Callithrix jacchus: one gene and its partners. The protein of the gene in region 1 interacts with the protein of each later gene in a biochemical or structural test. Links are inferred from orthologs where the notes say so. Each region holds a gene or a part of one and is shown on either strand. Other genes may lie near its edges.

The links.
Region 2: of the proteins of CDK2 (region 1) and POLA1, one has a biochemical effect on the other in vitro, tested with the Homo sapiens proteins (2 studies listed by BioGRID). The link is inferred for Callithrix jacchus from reciprocal best matches to the Homo sapiens genes CDK2 and POLA1.
Region 3: the proteins of CDK2 (region 1) and RBL2 form a complex in vitro, tested with the Homo sapiens proteins (3 studies listed by BioGRID, with this or other methods). The link is inferred for Callithrix jacchus from reciprocal best matches to the Homo sapiens genes CDK2 and RBL2.

Annotation. Positions count from the first base shown.
Region 1 is NC_133510.1:63,704,758-63,708,509, reverse strand, and holds the end of CDK2 (cyclin-dependent kinase 2), read left to right. Parts: intron 1-1,819; coding exon 1,820-2,023; intron 2,024-2,303; coding exon 2,304-2,408; 3' UTR 2,409-3,555; downstream 3,556-3,752. UniProt on the Homo sapiens protein: Serine/threonine-protein kinase involved in the control of the cell cycle; essential for meiosis, but dispensable for mitosis. Phosphorylates CABLES1, CTNNB1, CDK2AP2, ERCC6, NBN, USP37, p53/TP53, NPM1, CDK7, RB1, BRCA2, MYC, NPAT, EZH2.
Region 2 is NC_133524.1:25,427,400-25,431,051, forward strand, and holds part of POLA1 (DNA polymerase alpha catalytic subunit), read left to right. Parts: intron 1-2,593; coding exon 2,594-2,718; intron 2,719-3,652. UniProt on the Homo sapiens protein: Catalytic subunit of the DNA polymerase alpha complex (also known as the alpha DNA polymerase-primase complex) which plays an essential role in the initiation of DNA synthesis.
Region 3 is NC_133521.1:11,359,180-11,362,831, reverse strand, and holds part of RBL2 (retinoblastoma-like protein 2), read right to left. Parts: intron 1,951-3,652; coding exon 1,820-1,950; intron 1-1,819. UniProt on the Homo sapiens protein: Key regulator of entry into cell division. Directly involved in heterochromatin formation by maintaining overall chromatin structure and, in particular, that of constitutive heterochromatin by stabilizing histone methylation.

The DNA.
Region 1 (3,752 bases):
CTTGGCCCAGACCTATGATGCTTCTATCACAGGGTTCTCTTTCTAAAGTAGCACCAAGGGGAATGGTGAGGAAAGGATGCAACTGTTACCCCAATATCAACCACAATGTTAGGATATCCAACAACAGCCTTAGTACCTAGTATACATCTCTATCCCTGAAATGAGGTAAAACATTTCTGCATCTGTTTTAACCATAGTCTGCATATATTTGGGAGAATGATTCCATTTAGTGCCTCTTTTATTTTAGGGCTTCACTTCAAGGCCTGTAGACCTTGTTGTATGGTGCCAGGAATGTAGTGAAGCCAGTTGTGGTCACTTTGTTCACACCCTTCATTTAAACTGCAGATTTAGACAGGGCGCAGTGGCTCATGCCTGTAATCCCAGCACTTTGGGAGGCTGAGGTGGGTGGGTTGCCTGAGGACAGGAGTTCAAGACCAGCCTGGCTAACATGCTGAAACCTCATCTATACAAAAAATACAAAAATTAGCCGGGTATGGTGGTACAAACACCTGTAATCCCAGCTATTTGGGAGGTTGAGGCAGGAGAATCGCTTGAACCTGAGTGACGGAGGTTGCAGTGAGATGAAATCGCACCACTTCACTCCAGCCCAGGTGACAGAGCGAGACTCCATCTCAAAAAAAAAAAAAGATTGGTGGGGCATGGTGGCTCTCGCCTGTTATCCAAGCACTTTGGAGGCCAAGGTGGGCAGATCACCTGAGGTCGGGAGTTCAAGACCAGCCTGACCAACATGGTAAAACCCCATCTTTTTTTTTTTTTTTTTTTGAGGCGGAGTTTCGCTCTTGTTACCCAGGCTGGAGTGCAATGGCGCGATCTCAGCTCACCGCAACCTCCGCCTCCTGGGTTCAGGCAATTCTTCTGCCTCAGCCTCCTGAGTAGCTGGGATTACAGGCACGTGCCACCATGCCCAGCTAATTTTTTGTATTTTTAGTAGAGATGGGGTTTCACCATGTTGACCAGGATGGTCTTGATCTCTTGACCTCGTGATCCACCCGCCTCAGCCTCCCAAAGTGCTAGGATTACAGGCATGAGCCACTGCACCCGGCCCTAAAACCCCATCTTTATTAAAAAAAAAAAAAGATTTAGATCACATCCCCTTTCAACCTCTGGCTTTTCAGACTGAAGGATCCTTGAGGCCTGGCCTTATGTAGAAGCTCCCATCTCCTTTAATACAACAGCGCAGTGCAGTAGGCCGAGGCTTCAAATCAGCAATGTTTTATGGTCCTTTATCTGTGTTGTAACCAAGAGCTTAAAGACCCTTAGCCTATACATATGTAATGTGCATTTATCCCCCAAAGCATTACCTTACAATTGCCCATATTCCTCTCTCAATTCATCAAAAAATATTTGTTAAGCACCTAGTGTGTACCTAGCACCATGCTAGGTGCTGTGGGGAACACAGAAGAAATGGAAGACAGAGTCTCTGCCCGCTGTGCTCCTATCTAGAAGTGGCTGCATCACAAGGTTGGGGGATGACCGCAGTGTCTACCCCACACCCCGTGAGTGGCTTGGGATCCCTTTGCTACATGTCAGTGGCACCCCAGACATTCACCCCCTCCCAGCCCCACCCAGCCTTGGGGATCTGCAAAGTCATGGTTGGGGGAAGGAAGGAGGGGGCAAGGAGACAGATGAAGGGACTTCTTTGTCTCAGGTTCTGTGTGACCGACCCCATGAAAGGCCCTAGGGAGGGAGTCATGGGGCCCTGCTGACCTTTCACTGCCTGTGGGAACTCCTTTGTATAGAGGACAGTTTTGACTGACGTCAATGTGGGTCTTGGTATTTCCTCTTTCCCCATTTTCAGGTGACTCGCCGGGCCCTATTCCCTGGAGATTCTGAGATTGACCAGCTCTTCCGGATCTTTCGGACTCTGGGGACCCCAGATGAGGTGGTGTGGCCAGGAGTTACTTCTATGCCTGATTACAAACCAAGTTTCCCCAAGTGGGCCCGACAAGATTTTAGTAAAGTTGTACCTCCCCTGGATGAAGATGGACGGAGCCTGTTATCGGTGAGAGTGGGCACCTGCTTCCCCTCATTCATTTCTTCCAGGGAAGGGATTTTACAGGATAAAGGAAGGATGAGACCCTGAACTCTGGGCCTCAGTATTTCATTTCCCTGATTCCTTCTTTCCCTGTTGGCATGCTGATTCAGATACAGGAGGATGGAAGTGAGAATTCTGCCTTGGGTAGAAGGAGTTCTGGTTTCCTGATTTCTGGGAACACTTGCTGCCCATTTAGTCCACTATCACATCATTGAAATCAACATACATCTCTCCCCTCTCCCTCTAGCAAATGCTGCACTATGACCCCAACAAGCGGATTTCGGCAAAGGCAGCCCTGGCTCACCCTTTCTTCCAGGATGTGACCAAGCCAGTACCCCATCTTCGACTCTGATGGCCTTCTCAAAGCCCCCAGCCCTAATTTCACCCTCTCCTCCAGTGTGGGCTTGACCTGGCTCTTTGGACTCAGGTGGGCCCTCTGATCTTGCCTTAAACACTCACCTTCCAGTCTTAGCCAGCCAACTCTGGGAATACAGGGGTGAAAGAGAGGAACTAGTAAAAATGAAAGGAAGTTTCAGTATTAGATGCACTTACGTTAGCCTCCACTATCCTTTCTCCCTTCTCCTAATTATTGCTAAAGAGGGTTGGTTTTTTTTTTAAAAAAAAGCCTCCCTACACATTAGATTTGCCATACCAATCTTTGAATGCCCCATAATTATTATTTCCAGTGTTTGGGATGACCAGGATCCCCAGCTTCCTGCTGCCACAATTTTTGTAAAGGCCAAACAATAGCAGGGGCCTAAGTTGGAGCTTTTGAGAACCAAGTAAAACAAAACCACAGAGAGGAGTCTATTTTAAAGAATTCCTTTGAAAAAATAGATCCAATCAGTTTATACCCTAGTTAGTGTTTTGCCTCACCTAATAGGCTGGGAGACTCAAGACTCAGCCCTGATAGGGCTGCAGAAGAAATAATTGGCCCCAGACCCCATGTTTGTCCCTTCTACCGGCATGAGGAGTCTGGGAGGCCCTAGGACAGGGATTGTGCTTCATTCCAATCTATTTCACCACGGCCTTATGAGGCAGGTGAGAGATGTTTGAATTTTTCTCTTCCTTTTAGTATTCTTAGTTCTTCCATTGCCAGGGATTCCTGATCCCATTTTCCTCTGAAGTCCACCTTCTACCCCATAGGAGTGGAAGTTAGGGTTTAGGCATCATTTTGAGCATGCCGACACTTTTACAGGGCTGTGATTGAGTGAGGGCATTGGATAAAAATATTTCTTTAAAAGAAGGATGAACAATTATATTTATACTTCAGGTTTTATCCAATAGTAGAGTTGGCTTTTTTTTTTTTTTTTTGGTCAGAGTGGGTGCATTTGTTGCCATGTGCACCTTGAAGTTTTGTAATGACAGTGCTAAAAAAAAGCAGTTTTTCTTTTATGATTTTGTCTCTGTCACCCTTGTCCTTGCGTGCTCCTGCTATTAACGTTACTTGTAATTTAGTTTGTAGTTCATTAAAAAAATGTACCTAGTTTTATAGTTCATCTCTTTCCTCATCTTATTTACTAAAAGAATGGGGGGAGACAATATGACTATGTATATGTGATCATTTATTCCAGACCCCTTTTCCTAATCTCTCTGTGGGTATCTACCCACCCTGCCCCATTTTGGCTAGTGCTGGTGATAAACAAAGCAGTTATTATTGTCCCTATTTATGGATGGGGAAACTGAAACCTATATA
Region 2 (3,652 bases), on another chromosome or scaffold:
GGGGGCCGGATTTTACAAACAGTTTCAGATGCTGGGCAGCTTAAAACAAGACAGCTGTCTGCTGCTTAACTAGTTAACTGGTGTTCTCATGTCGCCTAGTAAATGGCAGAGCTGGAATGTGCTGCTGCTCGCTATTCTGGTGCTCGTATTCATTCTACACTCTGTTGTTGAGTTTGCCTTGCATGCTGACGTCTCTCAGTTTCTGAATACACCATGCGTTTTCATCCCTTGTAAATTGTCTCATGCCTCTTCTTTCACCTGTGTCACTTTTTACCCTGTTCTCTGATTGTGAAATTCTCCTTTTTCTAGGCCTGTATTGGAAACCTCTCCTGTGAAGCCTTCCTTGATTTCTCAGGCAAAATTAACAGCTCTCCTCTGTACATTTCTTCAGTACTGAGTTCTTACCTTTTCTATGGCACCATGGTTATATTGTGATGGCAATTTCAGGCACTTTGCTTTACTTGACTGGGAGCCCCTTGTGGACAGGCAGCTCTGTCTTATTTGTAATTGTACCCTAAACCCTGTGTAGTGGAATGTTGTTGCCTTCCACAGGCCATTTGAAGACCTGTAGATGTCAGGCGTCAAGGGAGTCTTGAAGGGAATACACTGAGGTTAGCTTTTCACTTTCAGGGGTCATGTTGAGTAATCTTCGAAGCCTTTTCATGTAGGCCTGTTCACAATTTTTGAAATCATTTGAGTGACATCTAAGTTTTTGTGGCTGTCATCATTAAGTACCTTTATTCCTTAATGTCTTTCTGAAAATGGATTTAAAAGTCAAATGTGAAAGTCAAACAATAGAGTGAGATGTTATTAAGAGAGATTCCATTTCTAGAAAGCTAGAAAAAAGTAAGATCTCTAATTATGCTTTACCTTTAAGCTATAGTCTCCAGCAGTTTATTGCCAGCACTTGGTACATGTTCTTTAAATTGTATCTTCTATTTCAGTCAAACACTGAGTTAAGCAGCTTGATGTTGTTATGAACATTCTAGGGGGGTTGGAGTTTTAGGCTGCCTCTTATCCATACTTCTCCTTTTCTGTGCCTGCTCCTTTTTATAAATTAATTAGCACCAAACACAATAAAATACTAAATTTCACAGGCATACATGGCAATCATGCTGAGCCTAAACTCATGGCTGACAGGCAGCACTATTATGCTTGACTTAGTCATTCATCAGTGGGTATATGAAAGTCTTTAATTCTGTGGATGAATTTTTTTTTCCCCCTGAGTCTCGCTCTGTCACCCAGGCTGGAGTGCAGTGGTGTACTCTCGGCTCACTGCAACCTCTGCCTCCTGGGTTCAAGGGATTCTCCTGCCTCATCCTCCAGAGTAGCTGGGATTACAGGTGCCTGCCACCACGCTCAGCTAATTTTTGTTTTTTTAATAGAGATGGGGTTTCACCATGTTGGTCAGGCTGGTCTCAAACTCCTGACCTCAGCTGATCCACCTGCCTTGGCCTCCCAAAGTGCTGGGATTACAGGCATGAGCCGCTGCGCCTGGCCGAAATTTTTTCAGTATGTTCGTAGAATGGTCAGTTTATGATGACCAGAGCATGAATAATTCAAAAGTTGAATGAATAAACACTGAAGTCCTCTGATATTTCAGTAATTTTTGACAAACAATTTTAGTCTTTGTAGTTGTTTTACTAACGTCCTATGTCATAACCAATTGAGGCCTTGAAATAAGTGACATATCGAGAATCTCCTCAGAGCCATCTTTGTTAAATTTCTCCAGTCCTCAGTGCATTCCTTTGAATTTCTGGGTACTTTGTCTGTACCTCTTTTAAGGTGTGTATTACCTCCAAATATTGTTTAGAGCCAGTTGCTACTTGTCTCCCATGTTAGTAAGTTCTTTGAGTACAGAGACCATGTCTTTTTTATCTTGGTTATTTATTTTTTTTTTGAGATGGAGTTTCTCTCTTTTTGCACAGGCTGGAGTGCAATGGAATGATCTCAGATCCCTGCAACCTCCGCCTCCCGGGTTCAAGTGTTTCTCCTGTGTTAGCCTCCCAAGTAGCTGGGGTTACAGGCATGTACCACCATATCTGGTTGGCCAGGCTGGTCTTGAACTCCTGACCTCAGATGATCTGTCCACCTCAGCCTCCCAAAGTGCTGGGATTACAGGTGTGAGTCACTGTGCCTGGCCTATCTTTGTGTCTCATAGTGCCTAGTACTTTGCAAAGAGTAGATGCTCCTTAAGCCTTTTAGATGTTGATTAACAGAATACAAGATTAATAGTTCTTTTATAACCCACTGGATTATTTCTGGCTGGTCATTTCTAATGGAAAGGTGATAAATTAGTTAACCGCTGATCTCCCTTGTTTAGTGTCTCCACAGGGTATCAGTTGAATTGGGAATTTTCCTCTTTTTGGAGAAAAAAATAATAGTGGCTTTAATTGTTTTAACAGGAACATTCTGGAGAGTCATGTATATTTGGATCTGTATGTTTGGCCGTGAGCTTTGTGAATTATTTACATTATAAAAATCACTGTATAATATTAAAATTGAATGTTATTGTTGGCTAGAAACTTTTCCTTTGTGTTTGAGGGAAGATGGCTGACAATTTTGTAATATCTCTTGTAAATTTTTTTTTCAGCTGTGTCAGATTCAGGGAGTTTCGTAGCTTCTCGAGCCCGGCGAGAAAAAAAATCAAAGAAGAGGTGCCAAGAAGCTCTAGAAAAACTGAAAAAGGCTAAAGCTGGTGAGAAGTGTAAATATGAAGTAAGTAACCATTTTTCCTCTTTATTCCTCCTGTGCTTCATCTAATTCATTGTCTGCAGGTAGTCTTATGTCACCTTTGCCCCGGATTAGAAATACTCATATATTTTAAACTTGTAATAGGAACTTATTAGTATTGAACAAGCATGGGTATGAGGTAGAATTCCTATAAGATATTTTACAGATAATTTTAAAATTCCAAAATGGAAGTACATAGCCATATCTGTATTTTTCCTTATTGAGCAATCTGTATCTATGGTAAGTCCCATAGGTTTGTTGGGGTCATTTAGAGGTGCATTTTCTTACTCCTAAGATATTGAGCAGTCTAGCTAAGCACTACTTGGAGAGAACTGTTCTTCCTTATCTCATTTGCAAGGGTAGTGGCAGTGGAAACTTGGACCTTAACTCCTGCCGTGTCCTGCTTGTAAGATTGAATGTGATGCTCTTTTGATTTTCGTCTACCCACTGTTTATGGCTTGCAGGTAAAAAACAGAGTGACCACCATCTGCATAATACTGTATAGCATCACCTTTAGGGCGCCCTGAGTATCTTAACTGCCTTATGGCTAGAAAGTGATTAACCAATATTAGAAAATAACCATAATTGATACACTTTTTGAACTAACATATTATTCTAAGTGCATTTACCATGTGTTTATTCACTGTTTTTGGAGACGGAGTCTTGCTCTGTCGCCCAGGCTGGAGGGCAGTGGTGCGATCTCTGCTCACTGCAACCTCTGCCTCCCGGGTTCAAGCAATTCTCCTGCCTCATACTCCTGAGTAGCTGGGACTACAGGCATGCGCCACCACGTCTGGCTGATTTTTTTTTTTTTTTTGTATTTTTAGTAGACACACGGTTTTGCTGTGTTGCCCAGGCTGGTTTTGAACTCCTGAGCTCAGGCAGTCCACCTGCCTCGCCTCCCAAATTGCTAGGATTA
Region 3 (3,652 bases), on another chromosome or scaffold:
CAGCTACGTGGGAGGCCAAGGTGGGAGAATCACTTGAACTCAGGAGATGGAGGTTGCAATGAGCCAAGATCACACCCCTGTGCTCTAGCCTGGGCAAAAGAGCAAGACTCCATCTCAAAATAAATAAATAAATAAATAGAATAAAATGTTATCCTTTTACTTTGAAAATCTTTCTTAGTGAGATTATCTTTTCCTGTATCTATTAGCTATGTGAGTTATAACCTTTGTGAAGTCATATTCTTTATTCATTTTATTAACCCTGTTAGTAGTTCTTAATATAATTCTGCATACTGATTGTCTGGTCAATGTAACTCAGGATGGAGCTAACGGTTAAAAAAAAATTACAGCTAGAGCATGACACTGTAAATTATTTCATTTGAGATGGAGTCTCGCTCTTCTCACCCAGGCTGGAGTGCAATGGCATAATCTCGGCTCACTGCAATCTCCAATCTCCGCTTCCGGGGCTCAAGTGATCTTCTTGCCTCAGGCTCCCGAGTAGCTGGGATTACAGGCACACGCCACCATACCCAGCTAATTTTTGTATTTTTAGTTGAGATGGGTTTTTGCCATATTGGCCAGGCTGGTCTCGAACTTCTGACCTCAAGTGATCCACCAGTCTTGACCTCCCGAAGTGCTGAGATTACGGGTGTGTGTCACCACACCTGGCCTGTTAATTACTTTAATAGTAAGCTTTTTTTTTTTTTTGGCAGGGGGTAGGGGACAAGGTCTTGCTTCAACATTCTGGGCTCAAGTGATCCTCCCATCTCAGCCTCCCAAGTAGCTTGTCCTGCAGGTATGCACAAACACACCTGGTCAATTTTTTTATTTAGTCATGATTTTTTTAACTATTAGATCCATAAATTTTGACAGTGATAATTTCCCCCCAAATATTAGACATCATTTTTCCACTTATCTTTAATAAGCTATATAAGACAATTCACCTAAAAGGCACAAAAAAAAGAATGTAATCAATTTAATTATACAACAGATAAAGCAATTTCTGCCTCTTCTTTTAAACATATTTGACTCTTTCTAAAATGGATTATAATCATGTCATTTTTCTTCCAAACAGGAAACCGAGAAATACTTACACGTTCCATTTATATTAAGACCACAAGTCCTGTACACATATTTCTAAGTACAATACCAAATAATTAATATTTTATTTACCTTTTCAACTTATAGTATCTCCTACAGTTTCTCAATATCCTTCATTTCTCTCAATATTACACAATGTTATAACCTTTAAAAATAAACTCTTCCAATGCCGGGCACAGTGGCTCACACCTGTAATCCCTGCACTTTAGGAGGCAGGAGTGGGCAGATCACAAGGTCAAGAGTTCAAGACCAGCCTGGTCAACATGGCAAAAACCCCGTTTCTACAAAAAAATACAAAAATTAGCCGGGCATGGTGGCACATGCCTGTAATCCCAGTTACTCAGGAGGCTAAGGCAGGAGAATCACCTGAACCCAGAAGGCAGAGGCCACAGTGAACCAAGATCACGCCATTGCACTCCAGCCTGGGTTACAGAGCAAGACCCCATCTCAAAAAAATAAATAAATAAAAATAAAATAATAAACTCTTCAATACAAGTGTCTAATACATTAAAATTTAAATATTTTCACCAAAGAAATAAAATATAATGGATACCAACTTTGATACAAATAAAGGAAAATCATTGGATGCTAATTTTAGCATCTAATTTCACCCGTCCACAGGTACAAATGCTCAGAAAATGATAAACAGAATTGTTACTATCACTAAGATTTATAAGCTCATATAAGCCATACTCTACTTCTCAAACTCTAACATAGTTACCTCTGCTCTGAACATTTCAGGATTCTAGTTAAAGATACATAGTTTCCTTCCACTGTCCCTTTGCTCACAGTTGGAACAGATTTTCTGCAAGCCACATATAAGGCACATGCTAACCAATGAAGATCATTTCCCTGTAAAAGAAAAGAAAATCCATTTTTAATTAATAAGCTATATATCTATTTCAATATTTTTTTAAAGTATGTTTAAATGTTTATATGGTGGTGCAGGGTGAAAAAATAAAAGAAAGTGTTTATATTTTTGTGGGAAATTTATTTTCAATAAGAACCCTATCTCATACGCTCTTCTTTTTTTTTTTTGAGATGGAGTCTCGCTCTGTCACCCAGGCTGGAGCACAGTGGTGTGATCTTGGCTCACTGCAACCTCCCCCTCCCAGGTTCAAGTGATTCTCCTGCCTCAGCCTCCAAGGTAGCTGGGACTATGTGCCACCAGGCCCAGCTAATTTTTGTAGAAACGGAGTTTCACCATGTTTGCTAGGCTGGTCTTAAACTCCTGGCCTCAAGTGATCCATCCACCTCGGCCTCCCAAAGTGCTGGGATTACAGACATGAGCCACTGTGCCTGGCCCCACATGTTCTTCTTATAATGTGACATTGACATTATTTTACTGAGAGGCAGGGAAGGTTCCCTCACCATGGAGGTGGGCAGGGGTCTGCACACTGATTAACTGTCTCTATCAACAGCAGAGGTAGAAGTGATACTATGTAATTCTAAAGATTATACAAGGCAATATAGATTCCACTTGGTTCTTTCTCTTAGGACATATGCCTTGGGAGTCCTAAAAAAACATCCAAGAATTCAGTTACCCGGTATCACCATGCTGGAGAGACCACCATGGAACAGACATACAGAGATGCCCAATGAGCTCCAGCTGTGCCAGTTCCTAGTTGCTCAAGTCTTCCAGGTGAGGTACCAGTCATTTTGATGCAGAAACCTGATATCAATATTGTCCCTGGCCTGAATTTCTGACTCACAGAACCTGTGAGCAAAACAAATTGTTTTCTGCTCCTAAGTTTTAAGGTAATTTGTTATATAGCCATCGGAATGGACATAATATTGTTGTTTGTATTTTTAATCTTGCTCAAAATCTAGAAAATTATAGAAATACAAAATTAAGCTTGAATGGACATTCAGCCACTAATTTTATACCTAATCAAAATACATACATGAATGCATGAAATTTATTCTTATAACCAAATGAAACTATTGTAGATTACTAACATATTATCATTAAACAATAATAATTTTTAAGGCATTGCTTCTAAAAGATCATCCTCACAATTCTTTTTTATTCAAGAAGTGATACAACTTTACTACTCCTATAAAAGAGAGCAAGGATGGAAGATGTCCTTTAGTTTCACTGTATCCATTACTGGTCTAAAGGAAAATAAGAAAAACTGGAAGTTCTTCATTTTTCACATTTATACATAGACTATCTTAAAAATCCATTTATATGTACTAATAGCACAGATGTATTGTCAAAAAAAACCAGCCAACGTTTGTGTATTACACTTATCTCTGGGAGATGGTTTCACAATATTCGTTATTTATAATGTAAAAGCAAATTTAGATTTATAACTACTGCATTTCTCTACTATATCAAATCTCTTAGAAAGTATAAAGTCAGTCACAACATTATCCTGTGCTTTAATAAAGGGTTTAAAAGATAATCTATAATGGTCCATTTTGGTTCTAGAGAATTCACAACTACTTGGAAGGTGGAGGGAGAACAAAAAAAAAGAAAGAAAGAAAGGTCACAACTATAACATTCCTGAAAAGAAGAAAAGAATTAGTCTTGCCAGGTGCTGTGGGTCAC